Linked DNA regions of Saccharomyces cerevisiae S288C. Changing the gene in region 3 together with the main gene of any one other region gives a genetic interaction. Each region holds a gene or a part of one and is shown on either strand. Other genes may lie near its edges.

Region 1 (7,834 bases), on a different chromosome or scaffold from region 3:
TACTTTATGGAATTATCAAAAAAATTAACTACAGAAAATATCAGGTTAAGTCAAGAAATAACACAACTAAAAGCAGATATGAACTCCGTAGGCAATGTTTGTAACCAAATTTTGCTGTTGCAGAGACAATTGCTTTCAGGAAATCAGGCGATCGGATCAAAGTCCGAAAATATTGTGTCTTCCACAGGTGGGGGGATATTAATACTAGATAAAAATAGCATCAATTCGAACGTACTGAGTAATTTGGTTCAGTCGATAGATCCTAATCACTCCAAGCCCAACGGACAAGCCCAAACACATCAAAGGGGTCCGAAAGGACAATCACATGCACAGGTTCAAAGTACTAATAGCCCTGCGCTAGCGCCAATTAACATGTTCCCGAGCTTAAGTAATTCTATACAGCCGATGCTTGGCACCTTGGCTCCGCAACCGCAAGATATAGTACAGAAGAGGAAGCTACCGTTACCAGGTTCAATAGCCTCTGCAGCAACAGGCAGTCCTTTTTCTCCATCACCCGTTGGTGAGTCTCCCTATAGCAAACGCTTTAAACTAGACGATAAACCAACTCCGTCTCAGACGGCTCTTGATTCCTTACTTACAAAATCCATTTCAAGCCCTAGATTACCCCTTTCGACGTTGGCTAACACAGCTGTCACGGAATCTTTTCGCTCACCTCAGCAGTTTCAGCATTCTCCAGATTTTGTAGTTGGTGGTAGCTCAAGTTCAACAACGGAAAATAACTCTAAGAAGGTAAATGAAGATTCTCCATCATCTTCTTCAAAACTAGCTGAACGACCTCGTCTTCCAAACAACGACTCCACTACTAGCATGCCTGAAAGTCCCACCGAGGTAGCTGGTGATGATGTTGATAGGGAGAAACCGCCAGAGTCAAGTAAGTCGGAGCCCAATGATAACAGCCCAGAATCGAAAGATCCTGAGAAAAATGGTAAAAACAGTAATCCGCTTGGTACGGATGCTGACAAACCAGTACCAATTTCTAATATTCATAATTCTACTGAGGCTGCAAATTCAAGTGGTACAGTGACAAAGACAGCTCCATCATTTCCGCAGAGTTCTTCTAAGTTTGAAATTATAAATAAAAAGGATACGAAGGCGGGGCCAAACGAGGCAATCAAATACAAGCTGTCCAGAGAAAATAAAACAATATGGGACCTATATGCGGAGTGGTATATTGGTCTGAACGGTAAATCTTCAATAAAAAAATTGATTGAAAATTATGGCTGGCGAAGGTGGAAGGTTAGCGAAGATTCACATTTTTTTCCTACTAGAAGAATTATTATGGATTATATTGAAACGGAATGTGATCGTGGCATAAAACTCGGCAGGTTTACTAATCCTCAACAACCGAGGGAGGATATACGGAAGATTTTAGTAGGGGACCTAGAAAAGTTCAGGATAAATAACGGTCTGACTCTGAATTCTCTATCATTGTACTTTAGAAATTTAACGAAAAATAACAAGGAAATTTGTATTTTTGAAAACTTTAAAAATTGGAACGTTAGATCAATGACAGAAGAAGAGAAATTAAAGTATTGCAAAAGGCGACATAATACACCATCTTAAGTTTATTGAGGTTGTCCGCGACAATAGTTCCTTCAACAAAATAACGAAGCGACGATAACGAGAAATGTCATTAGGTTATTACTACCTTTATAGAAAATATATATACTTATTTAATATTTATATAGATTTATGTGTGTACATACCTATGCGGATGTATGCCTATGTGGGAATTCCTAAATGTCTTTCCATCAACGACTAAATATATATTCTCATGACTGACTATATGGGTTACGAAAACTTAATTTTTTTGTCAAAGACCCTGGCGAATTGAGAAAACCCGCTGGATAGATGGGCTATCCGAAATTTTGAAAGATGGAAAAAACATTAATCTCATTAGCAAAAGAGGTAAGACCCTGGGTGAAGAAAAGTCCGAGGAGGGAACACAAAAAAGTCTAGGATAATGGCACATGAAAAGTTTAGTATACCTGAGAACTTCACATTAGCGCAGTCTTTGCAATTGCTTTACTCTGTTGTCAAAAATCAATATAAAAACCTAGCAGACCTAATAATCAATAGCAAAGGTAATAAGGACACAGTAACGTATGGGAAAATCCACAAAAACTTAGACACTTTACTGGTATACGTCAATGAAGGTCTACGAAAAATTGAAAAGACTTATACCTTAAAGAAAGGGTTAGGAAATCTTGTAGTTGATCATCCTGAATTGAGGAGCATCATTGAGGATTTCCAAATTCTTGGCCAGGATATAAGGATCGCACGTCGTAAAGCAGAAACGCTTATGGCCGAAGGAAACGGTAGTCCCTCTTTGTCATCCTCCTCTTCCGTTTTGGGCCTTGGGACAGGAAATGGTTTGCGTTTTCCAAAACTTTGGAGAATGGGTTCCAAAAGAGATAAATTGAAAGAAGCTGACGAAAAGGAGGCTAAAATCAACAAACAGGCTGATAATATCAGACGTGCTAGGAAATTAGAAGAAGAGAAAAAGTTAGGAGCAAAACTTCAGTATGAGAGGGACTTAGAACTTCAAAGGGAAAAATTGATCGAGTTAAAGGTTAAAGAAAAGGTCGAATTTGAAGTGGCCCAAAAGTTGGAGGAGGAGAGAGTTAAGAGAGAGGAAGAAGAACGCAAACATAGAGAACAAGCGGAGAAAAAACGTATATCAACCCTGAAACATGAGAGGAAAACAAATTACAAATCAAGGGCTAGCCTCGACAACTTCTCTTCCAGTAGCAAATCTTCTGGAAAGATTGACAACTCCCTAATTAAAAGAAGATCACTTGACGTTGTACGGACTTCAGGCGAAAGAGTACGAACGCCAGTAAGAAAATCAATGGAGGCAGCAGAAATAGGTATGGCTGCGCAGTTAGCCTGGTCTCAGTATCAAAACGGGGCAAATCATTCAAAAGTGAGTAACAACGGATCGCATTCAAATGAACTTCAGATACGTTATAAGCCAACACCACCTTTGAAAAAAAGGTATGACTACAAAAAGCCAACAGTTAATCGACCGATTATAAAATCACCTACTCTTAACAGGCAAAACAGCAAGTCTTCACGGAATATACCCACAAATAGCAAGCTGAAGGCTAGTAAATCCAATACTAACAAAGTTTCTCGTAGGAATGAGCAAAATTTGGAGCCTAGTTCACCAGTACTCGTTTCAGCGACAGCGGTACCTGCTGAATCCAAACCCATGCGTTCTAAAAGTGGTACACCCGATAAGGAAAGCTCTGCTAGTTCATCCCTCGATTCCAGAAAGGAGGATATATTAAAATCAGTGCAGGGAGTAGATCGAAACGCTTGTGAACAGATACTTAATGAAATTCTTGTTACGGATGAAAAAGTTTATTGGGAGGATATCGCAGGCTTACGGAATGCGAAGAATTCTTTGAAAGAAGCAGTGGTTTACCCATTTCTGCGGCCTGACTTATTCAAAGGGCTAAGAGAACCTGTTAGAGGTATGCTTTTGTTCGGCCCACCAGGTACAGGTAAGACAATGATTGCTAAGGCGGTTGCGACAGAGTCCAATTCCACATTTTTTAGTGTAAGTGCATCTTCTTTGCTATCGAAATACCTCGGTGAATCTGAGAAGCTGGTTAGAGCATTGTTTTACATGGCCAAAAAATTGTCACCCTCAATTATTTTCATAGATGAGATTGACTCTATGTTAACAGCTCGCTCTGATAATGAAAATGAGTCCTCGAGGAGAATTAAAACAGAACTTCTTATTCAGTGGTCCTCCCTATCTAGTGCTACTGCACAATCGGAAGACCGAAATAATACGCTTGACAGCAGAGTACTTGTCTTAGGAGCAACGAATTTGCCATGGGCGATTGATGATGCAGCAAGAAGACGATTTTCACGGAAACTATACATTCCTTTACCAGATTATGAAACTAGACTATATCATTTGAAGAGATTAATGGCCAAGCAGAAAAATAGCCTGCAAGATTTAGACTATGAATTAATAACAGAAATGACCGAGGGGTTTTCTGGTTCTGATCTTACGTCATTAGCCAAAGAAGCGGCAATGGAACCTATTAGAGATTTAGGAGATAAGTTGATGTTTGCGGATTTTGATAAAATCAGAGGAATTGAAATAAAAGATTTTCAGAATGCTCTGTTGACAATAAAAAAGAGCGTGTCGTCAGAATCTCTACAAAAATATGAGGAGTGGTCTAGTAAATTCGGTAGTAATGGTTCCTGAACGAGAGGGAGCGTCTTAATGGCAAAGAAAGGTATGAGAAGGAATTTTCCCCTTTCAACTTCTTGCTTCTGATCTAATTTTATTACCTATGTACTTTCTATGTATTATCAAAGAAAAACTAACTTCGGTTCCCTTATGATTTGATATTTTTCTTTCTTATTTACAATTAGTTTTCTCAGAACGATATTCAATACAGTTCTCCGGATTTTTGCTTACTATATTGGCCCCAAAAAAATGAAATAAAAAAAGAAAACAAAATAATATACTTGGGTGAAATAAAAAAAATAAATCAATAGCACCCAGTTAACCTAGATTCAAAGTTTCTTCTTCAATCTCAATTTATATACACGTTTGAGTTAATGGGAAAGCAAAGTCCAGCTATAAAACACTTGACCGTTAGCGCCATACCCTCCAACAACTAATTGGACCTTCTCCTTCTGCCCAAACAGTATATGCAAGGTACAGCAGTTACTACAAGCACAATATGTCTTGGATAAAAAATGTAACAGAATCTCCGACTTCACTGATTAAAAAAGTTTCATGTGGTTTGATAATTGCTGCTTCTCTATATGCCATTGCACCCAGCCTAAGTGCGCTAGTCTTTGGGGATTCTAAGCAGAGTATTGGGAAGTACACGACAGTGGGCTTAATTAATCGTGGGAATGATTGCTTCATAACATCATCTTTGCAAGGCCTGGCTGGAATACCTCGATTTGTAGAATATTTGAAACGGATAAGAACGGTCCTTCTAGAATTAGAAACTAAGCTGTCAAATAATGCAAAAGGCGACAATCCTACAGTTGATAACACTACAAGGCATAGTCGACTTGAAAACTCGTCTAATTCACTTGCCCCCTTACACGAAAGTCTTACCAGTTTAATTTTGGATTTGATATCTGTAAAAGATCGTAAGACGTCAATTTCTCCGAAAATAGTGATAAACACATTAGAGTCCATCTTTAAATCAAAGATCTCATCCAAACAAAATGATGCACATGAATTTACATTAATATTACTACAAACATTACAGGAAGAACGATCAAAATTGATCGATTACAGTAAACAGATATGTAATTTGAATATACCAAAGTTTCCATTTGAGGGCGAGACTTCCAAGTTTCTAGTATGCCTTAAATGCAAGGGTCTATCAGAACCATCATACAAACAGACTTTCATCCGCGAACTGTCCGTACCACAACAAACATCAGAGAATCTATCCAATATTCTAGCACACGATGAAACAGAAATCATAGACGACTATTCATGCCTGATCTGCCAAATAAGAGCAATCTTAAACCATGAAGAATATAGAAATTTCAAGGACTGTACCCCGGATGAAATTTTAATGTTGGACAGATTGAAAAATTATGCCACTAAAGCCCCAATTAACGAAAATTTACCATTCGAAGTAGAACAGTACGTCAAGCGTTACTCAAAGGGCAATTTGCAGGTATCTAATATAAAGGGAAAGGTCATCAAAAAAGATGTAGTAGTACAACTGCCAGACATATTAATTGTTCACTTATCGAGATCCACATTCAATGGTATTACATATTCTAGAAATCCCTGCAATGTCAAATTTGGAGAAAGAATAACACTTTCTGAATATACATTGGCTGAGAGTGGGACAATAACAGAAAACAGGCAAGTCAAATATAATTTGAAAAGTGTTGTGAAACACACCGGTTCTCATTCGAGTGGACACTATATGTGTTACAGACGCAAGACTGAAATTCGTTTCGGGAAGGAGGATGAATCTTCCTTCAGAAGAGCACCAGTTGTCAACAATGAAGTTAACAAGAATCGCGAGCAAAACGTTGCACATAATGATTACAAAAAAAGCAGATATAAAAAAGTCAAAAACGCCCTGCGGTATCCTTATTGGCAAATATCTGATACCGCCATAAAGGAATCTACCGCTTCAACTGTCTTGAATGAACAGAAATATGCTTATATGCTATACTACGAACGTGTAAATAAATAACCGCCCTGTACATAGGTATATTATAATAATAGTAAGTTACGCATCCATATCCACATCAGTATCCACTGCCATCATTTCAACATCGGTATCAGCCTCTCCATCATAAGTGTATTTCGAAGTCATTTGATTATGGAACCACTTCCACCAGCTTAGATAAGCAATTTCCTTATAATCTACCCATTTTATTATTTGTAGCCTTTTTTCTCTCAAACGTTCCCATATTTTGTCATAAAACAAGTCATTGTCGCCGCGTTTACTTGTGGAACACTTGATGATCTCTTTCAGGACCTTATCATCAATAGCGTCTGTGAATACTATATTGTTATGAATAAGATTGTTATCATCTGCATGTCCGTTCTTGGGCCCTTTATCATTTAAGGATAAATTCTCTAAATCTATAATTAGTCTTTTTCTTTTATAATTATCAATTCCTATTGGGTCTGGAGAATGATTTCTTTTCCTAATGTGGTTGGGATTGCCATTACTTCTTGCAAACCGGGAACTCATGGAATGAAAAAGTCATTTAAACGTGCCACTAGTTTTACTATCTGCTAATCGTTCTAGACGTGTAATATAAATCATATCCGAGCGCCGTTGTTGAATAATTTAATGCCTTCGTATTACATACATTTTGAAATTTGCTTTCGTAAAAGAGCGGTTCCCGGATAAAAAAGTGTGCAAATAACCGAGCCTTATTTGATTTCCAGTAAAGACCCAACCAAACGCATCATTGAAGCAAAAATAGATTAAAACTTACTGTTGTTCGTCTATTGAATTTTGTTCGGATTGGTGTGGTGTTTAATATCTTGGGCAGAAAGAGAATTGGCTTTATAGACACTCATAAAATCATCATTCCCCTTAGAGCAAAAGGTATTTTTAGAAGCCAAGAAGAAGAGCAGATAAAAAAGAAGTACGCCCTCTAACAATAAAAGTCAAATGGCTAGACAATTATTCACTCCTCCGATAACCAATCCAAGGTTTGACCCTAATCAATCCATCAGGGAATCATACAAGAACACAACTGGCGGCATGCAATTTCAACAAAATCTACATGAGGATCAAAATGACAATGAGAGAAGTAGCTGTGATGGTGATGAAAACTCTACAACAGGAGAAAGGCTAGAAAACAATAAGTCTCCTATATTGACAAAACAAGAAATTGACGAAGCGTTGAACACTGTCACCAATTTACCTCCAGAATTATCAAAATTAATTGACATTTTTATTGATGACCTAAAGCAGCCAAAGTACGTACGGCCACTATCAGTACTGCAATTGTCTAGTCTTTTCCAAAGCTTTTACATAAAATTTGATAAAGCATCATTCCAGCACGTCAGTTCAGCGAATAATAATGGCTATTATTTTTCTGGCGGGGGCTCTAGTTCATTCTTGGCTGCCAAAGAAACGTTAAGTAGTGGTCTTAGCGGAATTTTTGGCAGAAGTAGGAGTAGTAGTGGAAATTCACTTATGAGGCCAAGAAGATCTTCATCGCTTTTCAGTAATGAGTCAATATCAAATTCAACTAATGCCACACAAATGTTGTCACCTGAAGAGATAAAAAAGCAATTGAAAATCAACGAATTAAACAACATGAAAATCGA
Region 2 (8,213 bases), on a different chromosome or scaffold from region 3:
AATTTCTCTAATTTTTAATTTGGTACCATACTTCACCCAACTTTGCTTCATTAAATCGTCATACTCTTCATCCAAATTGATCATCGAAATTTTTTCTCCCGTGGAGCCATTGATAATACCCCCTTTCTCATTCAGGTAAACGATCTTCAAAGGCTCAAAAACACGGGCTAATTCACCAGCAGCTACGTCGGCGTTGACGTTCAACATTTGACCAGAAGCAGTTTCGGCTAAAGAGGTCAAGATTGGTAGGGCACCTGCCTTAATAGATGCTTCAATTGGCTCTTTTGTGACACTTTTAATATTGCCCACTAGCTTGTATTTGTCCTTATCCAAATAGTCAGCAGTAAAAACACCAGAAGTAATGGGTCTTGCACGGACCCCTAGCTGTTCTAATGCAGTAACTAGCTTAAGATTTTGTTCCAAAAAACATTTTCTAACTACGGCCATTGTGTGCTCATCCGTGATTCTAATACCATCAATATAGTCTGGCTCAATTCCCTGCGCTTCTAGCCTTCCATTAACCTGAGGACCGGTACCATGTAAAACTATTGGATATAGACCAACATGATACAAAAATGCCAAGCAGGAAGCGAGTTCGTGTAGATTGTCGCTGATAATGGCACCACCCACCTTGATCACAGCAAATTGTTGTTGTGAGACGGAAGTGAAATATTTCAAATATTGTTCAACCTCTCTTTTTGTGCTGATATTGTTCAACAGTTGGATCACAGTGGATCTAGTAGCTGAAAAGCCGTTAGTAGATGAAACATACCTCTTTGAGTATCCGACTTTCTTTCTCGTAAATGCAACGGATGGTGGAGCTCTCAAGGGTACAGATGCAAATCCTGCTATGGTGGATTTGTTTAATGAAGACACAAATTTTTGGAATTTGGAAGCGTTAAGTCTCTTTGTCGAGACGAGTAAGCTAGCAGATGGCATAATGATGCAGACTTATTTCTCACTTCAGATCTCTCTTTCTTTTGCCTTTAGTGGTATATGTGTTAAGTATATTACGGGTCTGAAAAATAATATCCAAAAATGTTCCTAATGGAAATGGATAGCGAACAACAACACGCGCGCAAGCTCTTTATATGAAAAAAAAAAATAGAAGAGTCATCAATTACCACCATTCGGCCACAGTTTTTTGATGTAGACTGAGTCATTCGGATAAGAATTCCAACCAACTGCGCAAGAGATTTCGTTGAAAAAATGTGATTTAAGTGAAAAAATTAGCGAAGCAGGTTCCGTGCATTATGATATATATCATGATGATTATTTTCTATGAATTAGTCATTCTTGCAGCGCTGACGCTTTCATACGTTGTAACGAGTAAATAGACTATACTGGTATATGCTATGGCATTATTCATTAGCCAGATACCTTTCCCAGATACCTTTCCACGTCAAAGGTTTAAAAAAATGGGTGAGATTTTTTTTTCTTGCATTTCGTTATAAACGGAGAGATTATATATTCATGAGAAATAAAAATAGATAAAATTATGGTTAATGCAAACAAGAAAAATATTTAGAGTCGGATTAATTACCGGCGATAATTTTCCTTCCGTTGATTAGTTGATTTAGTAAATCAGAGGAATTTCTTGAGCTTGTATCACCCATTTGTTGCTGCTGAATAGGAACCTTATGTTGTGGACCAAAGATACCCGGTGGAGGGGTACTGACGTTTAATGGTGGTTGGATTTGCTGTGAGACGGTTTGCAGTCTTATTGGTTGGGTGGGAGTTTTCGTATTATCTGTGATTGTAATATTGTCATTTACACCAACATTGACACTCTGCAAGAATTGAACGACAGAAGCAGTGTAGTCTATTGGCTTTATAGCCAGGATCTCCACAAGTTTGTTGGCTAATGTATTGTCACTTTTCTTTGAGGCCTCAATCTTGTCCCAAGAAAACAAAGACGGATACTTTTTATAAGTTTCTTCGTCAATAATATTGGATTTGATAGATATAGGGCGCTTCTGATAATTTGATAGAGAATGTAGTCTTGCATCCAAAAAGTCAACAGCATTCCCTAGTGCGTCATAAGGATCTTTGTATTCCTCTGCAGCAAGAGATTGCTTCTTCTTGCTACCATGGGAGTGACTTGTAGCATTGGTATTGGTAGTAGTTGTCGTACTTGTGATGGTATTCTCTGTTGTGGGGGTAGTATGATGGCCCAGAGAATCATTTAATGTTGGCAAGTTTATGGAGCTGCTGTTTTTAGAGAGATTGATAGAGGTTACAGGTGTTGCTGATTGAGTAACTCCCCAAGGATTTGACCCTGCAGGGACCGGAGCAGGTGTTAATACCGGTGTTCCAGCGTTTGTATGGCTGTCATGATGTAACTGAGCCCTCATCGCCGCCGGTGAAGGTGTGCCTGTGAAATTTTCACTTAGTAAATTGGTATTTGAACCAGCGGTACTGGTAGATATATTGTTGTGTATTCCAGATCTAGTGAATGCAGTTCCGCCACTTTGCTGTTGCGCTTGTTGTTTATTGTGGAGTTCTCTTTTATTAAAAGAATCAGCTTCTTCACCAGGTTCATGCAAAAACATACAGTTGGGATTTGGGCATGGCAATCCTCTTAAATAAGAAGAACAGTATTTAGTAGTACCGTAGGCAGCTTTGATCAGGCGGCCATCCATATACGTCCCGTCTACCTGAGCTATACATCTTGCAGCATCGTCCTTGGATCCGAAGGTTATGTAAACGCCATATCCTGGTGAATGATGGTGATAATGCTCGCTGGTTGTGTTGTTAGAATGGGGTGTTTTTCTATTAACCACAATCTTATTTATCTTACCATATTGGCCAAAATATTTTTCAGATTTCAGAGTGGGCGCAACTTCCTCGTATGGAACAGGAGGATTGATGCCAACAACGTACACTAAATTCTTTTGGATAACTCTGGTACCAGATAAATGTTTCCTATTCGTATATTCATTCTCTTTACGTTCTTTTTCTCTATGCTTTCTTTCTTTCTCCTTCCTAGCGAGCTTGGCTCTCTCCATTTTTAACTCCTCCGGAGATAATGTGACGTATCTGACGTTCTCGTCATCATATTTACGACGACATGCTGGGCAACGGCCATTTAATTCTGGATTTTGTCTGATATTATTGTAGCAAAATTGACAAATTTGATAACCACAGGGACAAGGAAAAAAATTTTTATCAGTAATATCCATTGGTTCAATACAAAGAGGGCAATAATCTTCTTCATCCTCCGATAAAAATGACGTATCAAAATTGCTTAAGGCGTTGTGGATTGCTTGCAAATTTTCTTGAACGTGTGGATTCATCATTATGACTGGATTATATACGATACTTTTATTTGGTCTTTTGTACTTTTTATTAAGTTTTGGGATTGTTGCAGAGTAACAAAAGCAGTAATCTATACTATTCGAACCACTACTGAAAACCCTAGGAGGGCTTTTACTGTATGTAGTACACGTCTTGATATGCTTTTCGGAAATTTTGAAAAGAGAAAGCAAAAAAAAAAATCATATTCACACTTACAATGTTACCCGGGAAGAGACGGCAATCAAGTGGAAGTTCGGGTAATAGCATTCATTTTAGAAGCGTCGATATAATCATCGACCAGGTAGTAGTTTAACAATACATTATCAGGTTTCGCGGCGTAACAGTGATACTACTTTATAGCGTTTCACGTCTTCGGGCTCAACATTTCAATAAAAAAAATTCAAAAAGTTGCTAATCGTAAATCATTAAAGGTACATAAAACTACTTATGAATTTGGGAGGTTAGGATTCAGTACTAACACATTCTCTATGACACAACCTTTAATTTGCGCCTACAGGATGTGTTTTGTAATCGACAAATACCATAGCATCTTCATGTGTGCAAACTACTTGAACGTCTATCTTGAAAGGTCTACCATGGTATTCAGTTTCCTCACCGTAATGCCAGGTGATTTTATCAAATGTCTCTTCCTTCGATTTTTCGTGAAATTTAAGCTCAGGTTTCCTAACGGCTTGCTTAATATCTTTCAAAAGATGCTTTTCAATATGCTGGTGCAGGTGACGCACGAACTTCTTAGAATGAGAATTTGCAGCATCACTAATTTTTTCAGGGTCCTCGTGCGACTCGTGTAGCACAAATGGTGGGTAGTAATTTAATTTACAGTGCAAATGATCGAAATCATCATCTTCAGTTTCATTGGCAATGAAAGTTTCAAAACCCTGCAGGTCTTCAAAAACTTTCACGGTTTCACCATCCTCCGTGGTAACCGTTTGAACTTTTACTTCCTTCTTATCCTTCTTTGTCATTTAAAGTGGAGACGAAAACAGTCGATACCTAATTTATATGTTCTATGGGCAATTATTAGAATACAATGCAGAACTTGTCCCTTTATGAAATGTTTTGACCAAAGAAATTTGAACGTGGAAGAACAAAAGATTCAAATATACGCTAGAAATCTTTTGCCTTATATATGTGCACACAATCAAGTAAAGACACTTGTATTTTTCCACCCAGCAATACCCCTTAAGAACGCTGCCCCTTTCATTCTATATTTAATTAACCATACAGTAACTTATAATACCCCTGATTACAGGATGCATTTGTTATGGAAGTCAATTGCCGAGAGCCGTCCACATTATGCTGGTTGCCTCGAGGATATTATTTTTTAGCACATCCGCAATCTCGCCACACCGCATTTCCGTTCCTTCGGCCCCTGAATCTGGGGTAAAAAAAAAAAAAGCAGTCATCTGGAGATTGTATCACCCAAAAAGAAATACGTTTCTGGCTCGTAACAGGTATGACAACACGTTGTCAGAATACCAAAGTTTAGTCTGAACATTTGACTGCGTGTATATCGGAAACGCTGGATTTTTGGTGCCACCTTCTTCGTTCATGGCATATGTGTAAGTCACGTAGGATTAATGTCATCAATTTCATGAGTTGAGTGAAAGTGCAACTTTACAATGTAGTCAACATACTGCACCGTCATCATTACATATTTCAGATTAAGGGTGATAATGCCGCTTTCATAATTCCTATTGAAACCTTGTATTGGCATATGATACTTCAGGAAGATGTGTTCGGCAATCGTTGCTTTTACTTCGGTACTCTTGACAGATTATGTCATTTATTCGCACCAGTAAGGATGTAGCTCTTGTCTTCTGTAGCCGAATTATCGAAGTTAATGAATAATATTACACACAGCTACAGTTTCAGGAAAAATATGAGACGAGTCGCAAATAAGCGGCCATTGTATACATTATGACAAAGTGAGTGTGATAATTACTGCATGGCCCAATGCATGAAAATATGGGTCAACTTGTACCACATTTGCTACAAATGGACGATAACTGAACTGGGCATAAACAAAATTACTTTTTCCTCGATTTTAGTCCTGCTGATTGAGCTAATAATACATAGCTCGCATGTAATTAATGTTGATATATTAAACTAATAAATAGCACATAACTTATTAATGTAAATTCTAAAGTTTTATATTTGTTTACACCGAAAAAGTACAACTGAGTTCCAAACGTGACAAGGTAAGTTCTGCATCATTCTCACATCAATCTTCAACTAAAGTCCAAAATTTCTAAAAGATTTCGCTTGTCTCGTTCTACCGCTGCCACAAGTGTGTTGTCCTTAAAACTAACGTTCCAAACATTATCAGCACCACTCAATGTATCTGAACGGACTAACAGCCCACTATTTAAATCATAAATATTGAGCAAACCTTCAGATCCACTCACTAATACCTCATCAGAAACGTGCAATGCGGTGATTGTATTCAACTGCGTGTGATCGAAAAAGTGCTTCAGAAAGTAAGTGTTAGCGTCCCAACACCTTATTGAACCGTCTACAGAAGCACTGACTAAAAATTTATCGGATAATCCCAATAAACCGACTAGGGCTCTGTGACCCCGCAAAGTGTACATAGCACCAAGTATTTTGGCGCATGGCGATGCTGAATTTGTTGCGTAGGAACATTCTCCATTATTCCTTATATTTTCCAAATCCCAAATTCTAATAGTGGTATCCATACTGGCAGAGATGCACCTTTTTCTTTCATGATCGTAGATTGTCGAATAAATACGATCCGTATGTCCACTCAAGATATATAGACATTTCATTTGCGCAACATCCCACACAATCAATGTATTATCATAGGAGCCACTAATGGCAATATTACCGTGGCCTGAGACAGTTCTTACAGTCGCCGTATGTCCTCTTAAAACACCAACAAAATATGGGTTCTCCTCAGGGGTATGAAAGACTAATGGATAATCATGTTCTTCCCCATGATCAGGAACGGAGGACTCCTTGGGCAATTTCCAAACGTGCAAAGTGTTATCTCTCGAACCAGTAACAATGTACTTGATATTTTTATATTCTACTATATCTAGGCACCTCACCGTAGAGTTATGACCTTTAAACACATGGGTACAACAACCTTTCTTAATATCTCAAACTCGCACCGTTCTGCCTGTAGAACCGCTGACTAAAATACCGCCATGGGCATACTTCAATGCCCAAACCTCACCATCATGACCTGATAGTTGTAAAAGAAATCTTTTATTTACTAAGTTATAAACTCTGATCGTTTTATCACATCCTCCTGTAATGACATAATTATCTTCAACTTGCAAGCACGCAATAACACTCGTCATATGGCCACTTAACGTGGTCCTTTGAGGTGTATAATCAGGATCAAACAAATTTACCAAAACAGACATTTCAGACACAACTTCCAGTACTTTATTAAAGCTTCGCAGATAGACGTTCTGATATAATTCCAAGGTAATAGAAAGCGATTGCTGTTTAAGTTGAACATGGTTTGCATTGATTTATTTAAACTTCGGGTAAATTGCTGGCTGCAACTTTCATTTAGACGAAAATGCAAAATCAATTGCCCCTTGTTGATAGCTTTAAGTGGAAGCCGTTGACTAGGTTTTAACGGGAGTGTGACTCCAAATGAAAAAATTATTGAAAGCTAAGATTATTTTGCACTATGACATTCTCGATAATCCCTTGGAAAGATTTAAGTGATTAGTCCGAGTACCGATATGGTTGAGAATCAAAGGTTTCTTTTCACAACGGTGACCCCACCATTTGAAAAAAAAAAAAAAATGAAAACGATGGCAACGCCCTTATCTGGCGTGGTTATTACCATAGAAAAGTTTATTCAATGTTTTTGTTATTCTCACTGACACAGACAGCATTTTGGAATATTGCATTCCTAACATATTGCTACATTAGCAATTGAAAGGGCAGTCGGAACTATCACGTAGTTTGAAAATGTCTTCCCGCTTAGCTCATTATGCATAAGCTTGTGCACGGCGTCATGGTCCATTTACTGTACATGGTAAGAAAGTTTTATTCCACCTACACTGATGTTGGCTGGTATGTTGATGGTTTTTGATAATTCACGTGTAATTAAGAACATCGAAACACTATCTGATGTATTTTTTATTGTTGAAATTTCTGACTCGTTTACAACCTACAAGCCCATACTGAGCTAAGTTTGCCATGTGCCCATCTATCTGTATTCGTGTCGAATCGGAAAATTATTATGGTACTTTTGTGTTGGAGATGGACAATAGAACGGTATGATGAGGCTTTGGTATTTTCATTTTAACAAGTGAATTTGAGAATTGGGTGATTTGTGATTATATTTGGGTGCACTGTTGGAAAAGGCTATAATATTACGCATACAGGATATACTGGTAGCATGAATACTACCCCAAATGGATGATATTTTAGGGTTTCATTGTAACAGATATCGGTGGATGTGTTCTTATTTTTATATGTCTCTGATAGTGGTTCTTTTTTGGGAAATTCATAATGATAGGCACTATGGCCGAGTGGTTAAGGCGACAGACTTGAAATCTGTTGGGCTCTGCCCGCGCTGGTTCAAATCCTGCTGGTGTCGTTTTTTTTATTGTTAGAGGTGCCTTGAAAATGCTACATTCATGAAAAGTAGTTGAACTGCTTGGAGACCATATTTACTGGAATATCTTCATATGGTCGAAGGCCGTTTGATGCTTCCAAACTGAATGTTGGGCTGGAATAAATTTTGTAATAGTAGTGCTTCAAATGAATTATTTTTTTTTCATTTTCAATACGCAAATGTAAATGACGCGTACGCTGGGACTGATAAGGTTTGTATTTAGATTCTTCCTGGCCTAAACATTATGTTAACTAGGTTTGTTTTTAGCGCAATTTCATTAGTTCTCAAG
Region 3 (7,552 bases):
CTCTTCATCTTAATCAGGCTCTTTTATAGCTCAATCATCAGTGGAAAAAATTCTTCGAACTAGAAAAAAATCAAGAAGTGAAAAAACTAAAACCGCCAACTGGCTACCCGGATAAGCCCCATAATGGCGTTCCTAGGGCTAGAAGAATTTCAAATCGATGACAGCTGATAGAAAGCGCCAGAGATATGTAGCCTTCCATCAGTAGTAATATCCAATAAATTGGGCACCATGGTTTGGCAATCAGGCTTTTTACCCTCGCCCTCTTTTCCTTCGCCTTTTACCTCTTCTGCATCCAATTTCAGCGTACGTACACAATGATTGACTTTGGAAATTTTCACTTTTTTCCACTCGAAGAAAAAAAATTCCAAACACGGTTCTCCGGTATTTAGGCATCGAATAAACTTTGCTAATCGACTAAAAGCATCTCTGCATATCTATACGTGTATATATTGTATTCGCTACAGCTCGCTCCTTGCATCAACTCTTTTTTTCTTTTTTTTCTTCCAGGTTAATCAATTACTGTACTGTAGCTTCTTTTTTATATTTTTTAGGTTTTCATATAGTGTCTTACGCAAATAGGCGGACCATAGAATGACTGTCACCATAAAAGAATTGACTAACCACAACTACATTGACCACGAACTATCAGCCACTTTAGACTCAACGGATGCGTTCGAGGGTCCCGAGAAGTTGCTGGAAATCTGGTTCTTCCCTCACAAGAAGTCCATCACGACCGAAAAGACATTAAGAAATATTGGCATGGATAGATGGATCGAGATTTTGAAATTAGTGAAATGCGAAGTTCTTTCCATGAAGAAGACTAAAGAACTGGATGCCTTTTTGTTGAGTGAGTCTTCCCTCTTCGTCTTCGATCACAAATTGACGATGAAGACGTGCGGTACTACAACCACATTGTTCTGTCTCGAAAAGCTTTTCCAGATCGTTGAGCAAGAGTTATCGTGGGCTTTCCGCACAACACAAGGGGGCAAGTACAAACCATTTAAAGTGTTTTATTCTAGACGATGTTTCCTTTTCCCCTGTAAGCAAGCCGCTATCCATCAAAACTGGGCTGACGAAGTCGACTATTTGAACAAATTTTTCGACAATGGTAAAAGTTATTCCGTGGGAAGAAATGACAAGAGCAACCACTGGAACCTGTACGTCACCGAGACGGACCGCTCCACACCTAAGGGAAAGGAGTACATCGAGGATGACGACGAAACTTTCGAAGTACTGATGACGGAGCTGGACCCAGAATGCGCTAGTAAGTTTGTTTGCGGGCCTGAGGCATCCACAACCGCTCTCGTGGAGCCAAACGAAGATAAGGGCCACAACCTCGGCTACCAAATGACTAAAAATACAAGGCTTGACGAAATATATGTCAACTCGGCCCAAGACTCCGATTTATCATTTCACCACGATGCATTTGCGTTCACGCCATGTGGATACTCATCCAATATGATTCTCGCTGAAAAATACTATTACACCCTGCACGTGACTCCGGAAAAGGGTTGGTCTTACGCCTCTTTCGAAAGTAACATACCCGTATTTGACATTTCCCAAGGGAAGCAAGACAACTTGGACGTTCTTCTACATATTCTGAACGTTTTTCAACCAAGAGAGTTCTCGATGACCTTTTTTACCAAAAATTATCAGAACCAATCCTTCCAAAAACTACTAAGCATCAACGAGTCACTGCCCGACTACATCAAGTTAGACAAAATTGTTTATGATCTGGACGACTACCACCTTTTCTATATGAAATTGCAGAAGAAAATATGAAAAGCCGCCATTTGTGTCTCCTCATACTTACATAGAATAGCCCTCTTCTATTATCCTTCGCTTGCTTTCTAGCACTCATAACTAATGTAGTTTAACCCGCTTGTATATCTTCTACATCATTACCCCGCATGCTTTTTTTTTTCCTCTAGAGAAAACCGGCACAGATTGGCCGGACCCGGAACAGGAAAAATGGCCACTGAAAATTCCTGGCCAGACCACCCCTGAGCTAAGGGAGTTTAGCCGCTCAAGCTTTTATTTCCTCTGATGTAATATATCACACACCCAGACACGGTTGCCAAGGCCTCGACGGAAGGCCGCTTCAAGGGACGGGGCAGTGGCTATCAGAAATACCTTAATATCATCAATATTTTTCATCAATCGCAAGGTGTCAAACATCAATAAAGGATGATGCTCAAAGGTTTATGCCCGATGTTCTTCTAATCCCCTTTCTCTCCTAAAATAATCCTTTTTTTACTCTTCTTCTTTTCCCCTGTTTCCATTTTTGTCTTTTCTCACCCCTTATGGGACATCAATAATGCAAGTATGTTTATACATTTTTATATAAATGTATATATAAATGCCATTTCTTACACATAACCTCCATTCTTTGGTTAATTCTTTCTTCATTCTTTTTTTTTTCATTCTGAAAAGCCCTCCAAGCAAGCACGCTAATTTAATATCGATTTAAACATGAAAGTATCACAAGTTTTCATTTCTGCCATCTCTGTCTTCGGCCTCGCTACTAGCGTAAATGCTCAAAACGCATCCAACACCACGAGTAACGCTGCTCCTGCTTTGCACGCTCAAAATGGTCAACTACTAAACGCCGGAGTCGTCGGTGCTGCTGTTGGTGGTGCTTTGGCCTTTTTGATTTAGGAAAAACGCCGCTTACTGCCACGATGATGATACCCTATTGACGTTTCTGAAATGTATAATTTCTTTTCTCATCTTCCCCTTTGATATTCCATCTATAGGCCCCAGAGTAGTAAATTTGGTGCTTTAATTTTTTTTCTCTTCTTCCAGTTCGTCTCTATTTTTTCATTCCATTATATTTATTTATCAGTTTTACTTTCTCAAATATTCTTATATAACACTATTTCATCTACGTAACCGAAAATAAGTAGTTTAATAACGATAATAATCATAATTGTGATAAAAATATTTACATTTTTCTTACTTGTCGCCCGCTTCGTTTTTGTATAGAACGTACTGTATTAGTTGTCCGTTCTTTTCACGTCTGAAGAGGTCGATTTCTTGCAATTTAACATCAACGTGGTATTTTCCATTATATACAATCAAAGAATCATCGTCCAGTTCGATTTCGCCATGAAACCAAAGGTGTAATGCATGTGAGTCCCCCTGCAGTGGGTATTCGTACTTGAACGACCCGTATACCCTCTCCGGCGATATAATCTCAAATAAATCGGCTGTTTCCAAACCAATGCGGTTCAGTAAATCGTCGATGGTTCCCCGTATACTTATTGGCCGATGCGTTATCCTCCATTTGCAAACAAAGGGTATTCTATACCAAGTGTGCGAACTATCCCTTTTATCGTCTGGCTCCATTACAATACCAGTTACACATGGATCTTGATCTTCGCACCACATGCTGAATTCATTTAACGTGGGTGAATTGCCATCTTTATCAAGCAATGGTACTCCGTATTGTTCCTTGATCATGTCATGACCGGATAATATCTCTAAAACCCTTAATTTAGAAAGCTTCTGTACTTGGTTTACGTCAACCTTTTTCAAATCTCTGGTACTCAGTTTACGTATCTTGGATGATGGAAACAATGGTAAGAAACTTTGTTCCTTTAAATATATCACTCTATAGATTAGTGAGTATCCTAATATCACACCGAATATACCACCAAATATGGCGGACCATATTTGCTTTCGGCGCTTGTTTCGCTGATGTGTTATTGCTTGACCAATGCTTCTCAAGTCCTCTCCTTTTATGTTAGGACTGTGTCCCTCTTCAATTTCCCCCAACTTCGTCTGTTGCTGTTGATGTGGCGTCGTAAAAAAATGCTTGCCATCATGGACATGCCTTTTCGACTCTGTCAATGAATTTCTTTTAGTTGTAATGCTTTTATTCAAGGTATTCAACCTTACATGACAATAGGTAGGCGCCTGGGTAAATAAGCATATACTTCTCGCGGACAGTAGAGATGTGTTAGCATTACGTAGAATCGCAAACCGTATCATTACCCCTTTTTCCTTCTTCTTGCAATTGAATACAGGAAACAGTTGCTTTGTCTTATGTTCGCTGCCACTCTTCTTTGGTTTTAATGCTTTGTTTCTCTCCTGCACTTGAATTTTATTGCTCGGAAAATGCTTCTTGCATAACCCCCACATAATTGGGCTGATTAACGTGACGCTAAAAAAATACCAATAGCAGTCCCAAAAAAAAAAAAAAAAAGATTCACATATGTATTGATTTTACTTTACGAAATTCTTGACCTATTTATATCATAAACGAGTGCTTATATTTCCGATCCTACTATCGCTTAAAAATCTTAATGTAATAAGGATAGAAAGGAAATTTTTTAAAAACATACATAAAAGTTCCGTACATATGCCGTTCCCGCTAGTTAAAATGTTCAGATTATTCATCGTCACTGTCTCCTAGAACTACACGGAAGCGTTTCTGCCTTTTCGGTTGTGGGTCATCTAATTCTTCCGTGTTATCGTCATTGTTATCCTTGACATCGCTGGAGCCGGAATACGAAAGTGAACGATCTTCGGAATCAGAACTCGATTGTATCCGTGTAACCTCCTTCTGATCCTCATCAAGGCTATCACCACTTACAAAACCATCATCATTATGCTCGTAAAAGTCACTATCGCGATCTTCCTCTTCTGTAGCATGTCGCCGTTGCTCCTCTTCCTCATCATCAGTAATAATTACATGTCTGTTCTTGAGTGCAGACAATACCAAATTCCTCCTACTTCCATCTTCATCTTCGTCATCTTCATCATCCTCTATAAAATCTTTCAAATCGGAATCCATCTCCTCTTCTTCTTCCTCATCCTCTTCTTCGTCGTCTTCATCATCCACAGCATCCACAGCAATACTACGATTATGTGACCTGGCCCAACGGCCTAGTGGGATATGTTCTCGCATGGGCTCCTCTTCACTGCTATCATCGTCTTCAGAACTTACATCATCTCTATTAGCAAACGGATTGGTAGACGCAAATCGATTCTCTCTACGCCTACGCATGCTTTCCCGGATTTCATCCAACTCTCCTTCACTGTATTCTTCTTCATCAAATTCGTCGCGACCACCTGCGTAATTCCGTATTCTGGCATTGCAGTGGGGACAAACATTTCCGTCCTCTACTTCGTCTGGGTCTAATTCCCAATGACAATTACTACAACGTGTGATACCATCATCCGAGTCGTCGGCCACTGCCAATGCGCTATTCTTAAATACTTTGTCAAACAATGTGTCCTTTTCCTTGTCATTCTTGTAATCATTTTCCTCCTTGGTTTTAGTTGTTAAAAGTTTTTTAAAAGATTCATCATTCTGGTCCCTTAATTTCTCTAAAATGAATGATAGATACTGTTGCAACGTTGTATTCAATGCGGGAATGGTGGTAATATCAGATCTGCACTGCGGACAAGCCAATTCTTTTTGAGTATTGCTGGCAAACCAGGTGTTCAGACAACCATAGCAATAATTATGACCACAAGGTGTCATCATCGGTACAAACATATAATCGTGGCAGATGGAGCAAACTAACGATTCTATTATCTTATAAAGTATGGCGTCCTTGGTGCCATCGTTTTGGTGAAGTAAACGGTTGTGTAATTCGTCGCCCATTATTCTTATCAATATATTAAAACTTTCTGTCTGAGAAAAAACGCGATCGTTCGTTTTCTGAAAACTTAATGCTTAAAATAGAATATTATCAAATTCCTCATCGCAGTTGTATGCTAGAAGAGAGCTCATCTAAATTGTAGTGGACATAGGATAAAAAACGCCATTGTGTGAAATGGCCCGAAAAAAAAGTATTGGGTATTCAAAAATAACGACCCCAGTGAGGGTTGAACTCACGATCTTGCGATTAACAGTCGCACGCCTTAACCAACTTGGCCATGGAGTCTAATATTTTATGAAAGATCTAAATTTTAGAAACTTAATGATGCACAGTTCTCAATGCACAAGATTGTGAGAAATGGGAGAATTTTGAGACAATTGTTGAGATTCCATTATTAATAAAGGTTTAATATTAGGTATATAGAACATGTTAGAGGTGTTGGAATGAAACTTTAAAATATCATCTTTTTAGTAGTATTCGTGTTACTAGTATATTATCACATGCAGTGTAAGAAGATAACATAAAGATTGGGAAACAGTTAGATTGATTGAAGCGAAATGCAAGGACTAATAATGTAATAGGATAATGAAATGTATAAAACGGAATTGGGAATATTCGTAATATTAGTATGTAGAAATATAGATTCCTTTTTGAGGATTCCTATATCCTCGAGGAAAATTTCTATTATAATCTGTATACATAATATTATAGCCTTCACCAACAATGGAATGACAACAATTATCAAATTATTCACCCAGTATTCAAGAGGTTTTCCACAAGGATATAGGAATCCATAAAAAGGCATCAGTATTATTATTACCATTTCTTATTCATTTACACGCCGTTATTCACTATTATTGAATAATCAATCATTGCATTTTTCAGCTTCCATTACATCTGATGCTATTTCTTAACCTTTATGGTTGCCTCTTATTCAACAAAATTAAAAGGATGAGGATAGAGAGTTAACTGGTTTTAATTTTTGTAGATGTAATGTATCCTCTTACAATTTACATTTGTTAACTCTAGGACATTATTAGGCTAATAAAATCATAACAAAAAGAAAAAAAAAACAAACGAAACAAAGTATTTTTTGTATGCCATGAACCATCTGCATTAATTACTTTAAAGCCAATAAGGACACTAATTAAACGAAAAAATAGGTATACTACTAAGAGATAGGTGAATAATTTGGTAATTATTCAGATGAAACTCTAGAGTGTCATCCATTTAGTAATATTCGTGATACTAGTATATTATCAAATACATTGTAATCATAATCATCATCATCATCATCATCATCATCATCATCATCGTCATCATCATTATTATTATTACTATTCTTTTTATTCTTCCCATTTTTATGTGCAGGCCCTTATTATCTTATTACAATATTTATCCTTGCATTTAGCTTTCATATGAATCTAATGACTGTTTCTTAGTCTTTATGTCATCTTGTCACGTCTTATATGATAATATAATAGTAATATAAATACCAGTCAATAGATATTCGTTAATTGAAAGGGGAGCATCAAACAATTGTGACCAATTAATTCTATATATTTACAAACTTTTACTGTTGTATTAGGGCTCGAGTAATACCGGGGTGTCTAGACAATCCTAATATAAGGAGTCTTTGGGAAGTAATCAGTTGCCAAAACGGATTATCAGCTTGATTCATGGGATGTTGCTTATTCTATATATCATATAAAATATGAATTACACTAAATGATGAAAGCGAGGAATCTCAGATCTAAACTAATTGTTCAGGGATTTATACGTTTGGGTGGTTCAACTACGGGAGGCGGAGTTTTATCTCATGTTGCTCATTCTATTCGTTTTGTTATAAGGTTGTTTCATATGAGCGTTTACGAGATGATGTATTGTCATACTGAGGTATGCTATCCTGAGATGTAATACCATCAAGAAATTCAGCGCAA
Region 4 (8,436 bases), on a different chromosome or scaffold from region 3:
TCTACGTACTTTGGTTATCGGTCGTAAAAAATTAAACAAGAAAATTTACGAGCAATTTCAAAAAGAATACAACGATGCCTCTTTGTCAATGCTAAATCGTGATCAACAGATGAGTCAAGTTATCACCAAGTATTTAGAGCATGATCTTGAATTATTGGGTCTAACTGGTGTAGAAGATAAGTTACAGAAGGATGTGAAGTCCTCTATCGAGTTATTAAGAAACGCAGGTATCAAGATTTGGATGCTGACAGGTGATAAAGTTGAAACTGCTCGTTGTGTTTCCATAAGTGCAAAATTAATATCTCGTGGCCAATATGTTCATACGATAACAAAAGTCACAAGACCGGAAGGTGCATTCAATCAGCTGGAGTATCTAAAAATCAATAGAAATGCTTGTCTTTTAATAGATGGTGAATCCCTGGGAATGTTTTTGAAACATTACGAACAGGAATTTTTTGATGTCGTGGTTCATTTACCCACTGTTATTGCTTGCCGTTGTACACCTCAACAGAAGGCAGACGTTGCTTTGGTAATTCGTAAAATGACGGGCAAAAGGGTATGCTGTATTGGTGATGGAGGTAACGATGTTAGTATGATTCAATGTGCAGATGTTGGCGTAGGGATTGTGGGTAAAGAAGGTAAACAAGCTTCTTTAGCTGCTGATTTTTCTATAACGCAATTTTGTCACCTCACCGAATTACTATTATGGCATGGTAGGAACTCTTACAAAAGATCTGCTAAATTGGCTCAATTTGTCATGCATAGAGGTTTAATCATTGCAATTTGCCAAGCGGTATATTCCATCTGTTCGTTGTTCGAACCTATTGCTCTTTATCAAGGTTGGTTAATGGTCGGTTATGCTACCTGCTATACAATGGCTCCAGTCTTTTCATTAACTCTTGATCACGATATCGAAGAGTCATTGACTAAAATATACCCAGAATTGTACAAAGAATTGACTGAAGGTAAGAGCTTATCATATAAGACGTTCTTTGTTTGGGTTCTATTATCGCTATTCCAAGGTTCTGTAATTCAATTATTTTCTCAGGCCTTTACGAGTTTATTAGATACTGATTTCACAAGGATGGTTGCTATCAGCTTCACTGCTTTGGTTGTAAATGAATTAATAATGGTTGCCTTAGAAATCTACACATGGAATAAAACAATGCTCGTCACTGAAATTGCTACTTTACTATTTTACATTGTATCGGTTCCATTTCTTGGCGATTATTTTGATTTAGGTTATATGACTACCGTAAATTACTATGCTGGACTTTTAGTTATATTACTCATCTCGATCTTTCCTGTCTGGACGGCAAAGGCAATTTATAGAAGGCTACATCCTCCAAGTTATGCAAAAGTGCAAGAGTTTGCCACTCCATAATTCAATTGGTTTGGATTTTTCTTGTTGCTTCAACGGATTATCTTAAAAAAATCTATCATATTTCAAAATATAAATTCTTATTTTTACAAAGAAGATATAGATTATGCATAATATTATTTTGTTACATTTTTTTTCTTTTACTTTTTATTTTCTTTTCTTTGTACTTCCTCAAATAAGCATCTTTAGCAGGTTAACAATAGCAAATATCATGTCCAGCCCAAATCACATAATACTTTCCACTTCACTTTCACTATCTGTTTCGGGAGACCTATCATCCACGGTATTGACAGTTGGTCTTTGGAAATCAGTTGCATGTGCCCAAGGAATGGATCTCGAAATGTTCTCAAACACGGAGGACCTTCTTCTGAAAGTCCCACGGTAAGCGGGCATAGGTTCGGCAAAACTGTGAGGATTATTGTCATGTGAAGGCGTGATAGGTATGTCGTTAAGTGATGAAAAGGCTTTTGAACCCAAATCACTACTATCCATAGAATCATCACCGACCTGCGCAATTGGATAAGGCAGAGGAGCGTCACCGGTAACCCTGAATAGGTGAACATTGGCAACATGTTCATTTTCGACTCTGAAGATGATCCAAACGAATCTTCTTAAAACCTCCAAAAGGGCCAATATAAACGACGTCACAGCACTCTGCTGAATTGTTTGAGGAGCAATTGCGTATACAATCCACTCAAATCTAATGAGGATATCCCAAATCATAGCAAAGTAATAAACTAACTTCCTACTGAATGAATAACTGCCGTTTTCCCAATTTTTTTTACCAGCTAAATACAAGTCGTCTCTTAGCAACCAATTGTAAGAAGTAGTATTGTGAGCAAAGGACCAATCCATAACTAAATCCCAGGCGGAAGTAAGGATCGAATTCAACGTAGCGCACACGATAAAAGGGGTTCTCCTTTGTTCAGAACGGTCTGACAATCTGTAAGCACAAAGTGTGGCATTATACGCTATACCCAAAGTGTATTTCGCCGCGTTCAAAAGATGAGGGAACCAATCACCGGAATCAGCAAATCTTCGTAAACATTGCATGAATCTCCAATAACTTGGTAAACATGATAAAACACCCATTGCTCTGGAATGTGAAGAGCCACATAGATTGTTGGGCGTATGAGAGTAAACACAGAAGAACATGGCAATATCGGCAATAGAATACGTCAACGAACAAATAATATCTCCCAAAAAGAAATCACCAAACTCAACAGGGAAAAAACCAGACATCATCAGTCTAATAAGAGTAACCACCAGCCATTTTCTAGTGTGTACAACTTTGTCCCAATATGGAATTAGACCAGAGGGACATAAAAATAAGAAAGACACAATACCAATATATAAAAAGCCTAAGGGTGTGAGCTTCTCCAAAGCGAAACTTAACATGGAACAGACCGCACAAGGTACTATGAAGAATGTCAAGAAATACAACTTGAGCGGAATTTTACTCGTGGCAAAATCATTGTTGAAAAATTGCGTACCATTCTTGGATTGAATCTCACCCAGCATAATAAATCTATAATTAATCCCGGTTCTATGCCAGATAAAACAATTAACAAGAAAGAGAAACGCGATCAACAAAACCATGTACCAACCACCCCACAGTGGGAACAGAATCTTGTGCGTAAATGACGTTTCTTCAGAGCTAATGCCCAAATACAAAGTGTAAGTGATCAAAGTCATTGACACACCTATGCCCAGCCCGACAACCAGCATCTGCACAATCGATCTGTTGTTTCTATGAACCATTTGTTCGGAGATAGAGTACTGAATGGTCAATTTCTTCAACTTATGGGTATTGTGCTTCCTGTCCTTAGGCGAATTGGTCAACGCAGTGGTGAACCACTCGGTGATCTGCGTTTCCAACCAAGTGATGGGCTCTTTGTCTCTTTGGGCGGAAGAGAGCTCCGAAGTGGGTGTTGGTTGCGAACTGGTTATTTGTTGCATCTTCTGTGCCACCAACTGCACGTTGGCATCCGCGTGCTTGAAAAGGGTGTAGTGGGTCCTGGCGTACGACATGAACGTGGTCAGCTCTCTTGTGTGACACGTTTTGTCGAATTTCTTGACCATTTTACGGAACCCGGTGACGTTGATATCCCGGAACGATTTGACCAATTGCAAGTACAGATAGTACTCGATTATAGCGTTGCTTAACAAGTTTCTAGCCTGGGTTGTCGTCATAGTCTCCAGAAAAGAAGCGCCAAAAGCAAACGTCTCGCGGCCTCTTGAGGACGCATCCTGTCTCAAGTCCTGTAGCAGAGAAAATCCACGTTTGGGCCACGATGGCAGCAGCCTATTGTCCTTAAGAACTTTCTGACAGTACGCTAGCAGCGACAAACGCGGCTTCTTGGCCTCTTTGGTGCAGGGCATTGACCCATACATAACAGACCGGCTATCGCTGTCGATGCTATTGACCCTGGAGTCAGAACGACCAGCAAGCCCTGCCGCATATAGACTCGTGGACATGTCAACATTCGAACTAGACCGGTTCAAGTTGTCGCGCTCATAATTCTTCTGCAGCGAGTAATAGTGCAGTTGCGACTGTAAAACCTCAAACTTCTTGTCGCACTCCTTTAGCAACCAAAGGTAAAACTCGTTACACTTACTCAACTGGAACGAGATCAACCAGTCTTCAATGAAGTCAGCAACGAACTCCCTCTGCAAAGCAGAATAGTCCTTCTTGAACGCAGGTCCGGAGCGATAGTCTCCGTCGCTGCGACTTTTGCCGGGCTCTCTCTGCTGAAATGCAGTCTGGTATACCGACACAGAGGGCATCCAGCTCCGGTAGGAGCTGGATTGCTCTTCTTCGGCATCCAGCTTCTCCTTGTAGCGGCGAAGCTTCTTCTTGCCGACCTTATAATCAATATATTTGTCCCTCCATTCCGGGATGGCAGACTCGGTTAGATGGTCAGCAAACTTCATCTGATACGGTGCTATGGTAAAGCCCTTCCATTGCTGCCAACTGAATTAAAAAAAAAAAAAAAATAACTACCAACCATCAAATCAAACAAAACAAAACAAAAAAGCAAAGGAGAAAACCCATCTTGTACATGTACAGTCCCAAACTGTTGCGAAACCGTGCGATGATGTTCATGGAACTTGCGTCAAATAAAACCGCATCCCGTCCCACGTGACAAACGGCACCCAAAATCCGTTCTAGAAATGCCTCACACCCACACCGATGATGGGCTTCCGACTCGATGACTACCAACACATAGCCAGCCGCAGCGGCTGGCAGCATGTGCATGATAATGATAAGTGATGATGAATGATGGTGATAACGATTTTGAACAAATGGCTGCAGCGATAGCAACTAAGGGGATGGAAAGACAGATCTGGGAGAGATAACTGCAGGGTGTGGCACGGCAACACAAGGCTATTGTATTGCACTAAACGGGCAAGAAGCCATGATGTGCGTCTGTATCCCAAAAAAAAAACTAATGGATTGGCGCGTGTACTATATATATTCATATGTCGTGTGTTTGTATATGTGTGGGAGTGATTGTGCGTGTATATGTGTGTTGGCGTGTGTGGTACAATGTGTGTGTTTTAATGTAGAAATGAGGTTGTAGCACGTGATCGGGAAGCCACAGTTTGCGCGGAGATATTTTATTTTTTTTCATCAGCGTAAGAAGAAAGCAACCTTGCAGTCTGTATCGTAAGAGAAGACTGCAGTTAAAGAAGTTTAGAGAAGAGGCTTGAGTATCGGTAAAGGGGTGTGTGTTTGGTGATTTATAAAGGAGAAGGGCATGAGGAGAGAGAGGCAAAGGATGATGAGTTTCGAGGACAAGGACAAGGACGACCTTGACAATAGTAATAGTAATAACAGCAGTGAAATGACAGATACGGCGATGATGCCACCATTAAAGAGATTGCTTATTACGGGCAGTAGCGATGATTTGGCACAAGGATCATCGGGTAAGAAGAAGATGACGATGGCGACGAGGTCGCCATCGTCATCACCCGATTTGGCGACAAACGACAGCGGCACTAGGGTACAGCCATTGCCAGAATATAACTTCACCAAGTTCTGCTATCGGCATAACCCGGACATTCAGTTCTCACCAACTCATACAGCGTGCTACAAGCAGGATTTGAAACGAACGCAAGAGATTAATGCTAATATCGCGAAGCTACCCCTGCAGGAGCAATCCGACATCCACCACATTATCTCGAAGTACAGCAATTCCAATGACAAGATACGGAAGCTGATTCTGGATGGGATCCTATCGACGAGTTGCTTCCCACAGCTTTCCTACATTTCGTCACTCGTTACACACATGATCAAGATCGACTTCATCAGCATTCTGCCGCAGGAGCTGTCGCTGAAGATCTTGAGTTATCTGGATTGCCAATCTCTTTGCAACGCCACGAGAGTGTGCCGCAAGTGGCAGAAGCTCGCGGATGACGACAGGGTATGGTACCACATGTGCGAGCAGCACATAGACAGGAAATGTCCCAACTGTGGCTGGGGGCTGCCTCTTTTGCACATGAAACGTGCGCGGATACAACAGAATAGTACAGGATCTAGCAGCAACGCAGATATCCAGACGCAAACTACGCGACCTTGGAAAGTCATCTACAGAGAACGGTTCAAAGTGGAGTCAAACTGGAGAAAGGGCCACTGCAGGATTCAGGAATTCAAGGGCCACATGGATGGTGTGTTAACGCTCCAGTTTAACTACAGGCTTTTGTTCACAGGCTCGTACGACTCCACCATAGGTATATGGGACTTATTCACGGGGAAGCTAATACGAAGGCTCAGCGGCCATTCGGACGGCGTCAAGACATTATATTTTGACGATAGAAAGCTGATTACGGGCTCGCTCGACAAGACGATCCGTGTTTGGAACTACATAACCGGTGAATGCATTTCCACGTATCGAGGCCACTCGGATAGCGTTCTGAGCGTAGATTCATACCAGAAGGTTATCGTTTCCGGCAGTGCTGACAAGACGGTCAAGGTATGGCACGTGGAGTCCAGGACATGCTACACCTTGAGAGGCCACACGGAATGGGTTAATTGCGTCAAATTGCATCCGAAAAGCTTTTCATGTTTTAGTTGCAGTGACGATACCACAATCCGAATGTGGGATATCAGGACCAATTCATGCCTAAAAGTGTTCAGGGGTCATGTAGGGCAGGTGCAAAAGATCATACCGCTTACCATTAAGGATGTAGAGAATCTAGCCACCGACAACACTTCTGATGGCAGCTCTCCGCAGGATGACCCAACAATGACTGATGGTGCAGACGAATCAGACACACCGTCGAACGAGCAAGAAACTGTCTTAGATGAAAACATACCTTATCCAACACATCTACTATCTTGCGGACTGGATAACACAATCAAACTATGGGACGTCAAAACCGGTAAATGCATAAGAACACAGTTTGGGCACGTGGAAGGTGTTTGGGACATCGCCGCTGACAACTTCAGAATTATAAGTGGTTCTCACGACGGAAGCATTAAGGTCTGGGACTTGCAAAGCGGGAAGTGTATGCACACGTTCAACGGTCGAAGACTACAAAGAGAAACTCAGCACACACAAACACAATCCTTGGGTGATAAAGTCGCCCCTATCGCTTGTGTTTGTATTGGAGATTCAGAATGCTTTAGTGGTGATGAATTTGGGTGCGTAAAAATGTACAAATTCGATCTCAATGATTAGGACCTGTGTGTGGTCTTTTCTTGGTCAAAAACATCCGTAGTACCTCGAATATATATGCTTACATATATAATGAAAAATACATAATAGCATTTTACATTTATTTTATTTCCAGGAAAAAAATAAATCGCTAGCGTATCACTAGCCTTTTCCATCTTCAGTTTTTTTCCTTCCTCTTTTTCGTCTCGATAAAACTCTTGACCATTAGATGCTATTACTCCCCCACGGAGCCCTTCCCACGCTAAGGGGGATGTCAAGGGGGGGACTGAAGATAAAGCTTATTATATTGACGGCGATGATGAAGAGGGCGTACGCATAAAATGTCGTACAAGATCCATAATCTGCAATATTGTTCCCTCAACAGTACTAATAAATCCAAAGGGCGAAGGTACTTTATTATATAAACGCGCACGGCCATTGTATATAAAGGCGATTACATAATAGAATACTTATCGATTCCGTAATCCTTGAAATATAGAATATACATAAAATAGACAAGAACCCAACAGTTGAGGCGCCAGCTTTGGTAATAGCTTAATAATAAATAAAAAAAGATAATATAGCTAGCTAGTATTATTGCTTTTATCCGTATGGCCACCACCACGCAACCACAAAATATACTGATGGATGAACCTTTAAATCTTCCTAATAACAGTGCCCACAACAATAACTATGGAAACATAAATGCGAATATAAGAACTTTTGCTGGTATGAGCATGCACATGCACCCTGCCAGGCTGAACTCTCTGGAGTTTTTGCACAAGCCCAGGAGACTATCTAATGTAAAACTGCACAGATTACCTCAGGACGAGCTTCAAAGAAATACGGACATGAATAAGGGAATGTATTTTAATGGGAAACAAGTTCATGCCCATCACCCGTTTATAAATTCTGGAGCGAACTTTAACGCACATCATCAAGACGTCAGTAAATTAGGCGAGGAGGAAGACGAAATCTCTCCTCTATCACATGATAATTTCCAGTATGAATCCGAGGAAAATGGTAATCCTTCACCTCCCATTTACAAGAAATCTGGAGAACTGGTTAAGAGTTCATTAAAAAGAAGATCCAAGTCCCTACCCATTACTCCCAAATCTATATTCAACAAAACTGGCTCTAAGAGTAAACATGTCAATTTAGATCATGTAGATACTAGGCTATTGCAAAGAAGTAAAAGTGTCCATTTCGATCGTGTTTTACCAATAAAGCTGTTCAATGAAAATGAGAAACCCATAGATGTTGGCAAACAAATGGTTCAACAAGATGTTCTGAATTTCAAGCATAAGCCTTTGACGAGACTAAGTGCCCTTAATGGCGGTAGTGATAGCGTACCTATAGAAGATTTACTATCTGAAAACAACCAAAACGAATATG

What was found.
Region 1: mutations in PSH1 (region 3) and YTA6 together harm fitness more than expected from each alone (negative genetic interaction), as found in Saccharomyces cerevisiae (2 studies listed by BioGRID).
Region 2: mutations in PSH1 (region 3) and MOT2 are lethal when combined (synthetic lethality), as found in Saccharomyces cerevisiae (one study listed by BioGRID).
Region 4: of PSH1 (region 3) and MET30, changing one enhances a phenotype caused by changing the other (phenotypic enhancement), as found in Saccharomyces cerevisiae (one study listed by BioGRID).

Annotation. Positions count from the first base shown.
Region 1 is NC_001148.4:413,779-421,612, forward strand, and holds YTA6 (putative AAA family ATPase YTA6), read left to right. Parts: upstream 1-1,984; coding exon 1,985-4,249; downstream 4,250-7,834. Other genes in the region: transcription regulator GCR1, read left to right, coding at 1-1,584; putative ubiquitin-specific protease UBP16, read left to right, coding at 4,734-6,233; YPL071C (uncharacterized protein), read right to left, coding at 6,270-6,740; guanine nucleotide exchange factor MUK1, read left to right, coding at 7,170-7,834.
Region 2 is NC_001137.3:288,136-296,348, reverse strand, and holds MOT2 (CCR4-NOT core ubiquitin-protein ligase subunit MOT2), read right to left. Parts: upstream 3,300-8,213; coding exon 1,536-3,299; downstream 1-1,535. Other genes in the region: ARG56 (bifunctional acetylglutamate kinase/N-acetyl-gamma-glutamyl-phosphate reductase), read right to left, coding at 1-939; RGI1 (Rgi1p), read right to left, coding at 3,798-4,283; RRT13 (Rrt13p), read right to left, coding at 5,550-6,107. UniProt on the Saccharomyces cerevisiae protein: E3 ubiquitin-protein ligase component of the CCR4-NOT core complex, which in the nucleus seems to be a general transcription factor, and in the cytoplasm the major mRNA deadenylase involved in mRNA turnover.
Region 3 is NC_001147.6:226,676-234,227, reverse strand, and holds PSH1 (ubiquitin-protein ligase PSH1), read right to left. Parts: upstream 5,615-7,552; coding exon 4,394-5,614; downstream 1-4,393. Other genes in the region: adenosylmethionine decarboxylase SPE2, read left to right, coding at 592-1,782; DDR2 (Ddr2p), read left to right, coding at 2,473-2,658; AIM39 (Aim39p), read right to left, coding at 2,956-4,143.
Region 4 is NC_001141.2:263,509-271,944, forward strand, and holds MET30 (ubiquitin-binding SDF ubiquitin ligase complex subunit MET30), read left to right. Parts: upstream 1-5,142; coding exon 5,143-7,065; downstream 7,066-8,436. Other genes in the region: aminophospholipid-translocating P4-type ATPase NEO1, read left to right, coding at 1-1,384; SYG1 (Syg1p), read right to left, coding at 1,607-4,315; YIL046W-A (uncharacterized protein), read left to right, coding at 4,801-4,965; putative protein phosphatase regulator PIG2, read left to right, coding at 7,653-8,436. UniProt on the Saccharomyces cerevisiae protein: Substrate-recognition component of the SCF(Met30) complex, an E3 ubiquitin ligase complex that mediates the ubiquitination and subsequent proteasomal degradation of target proteins. Negatively regulates sulfur amino acids biosynthesis genes expression.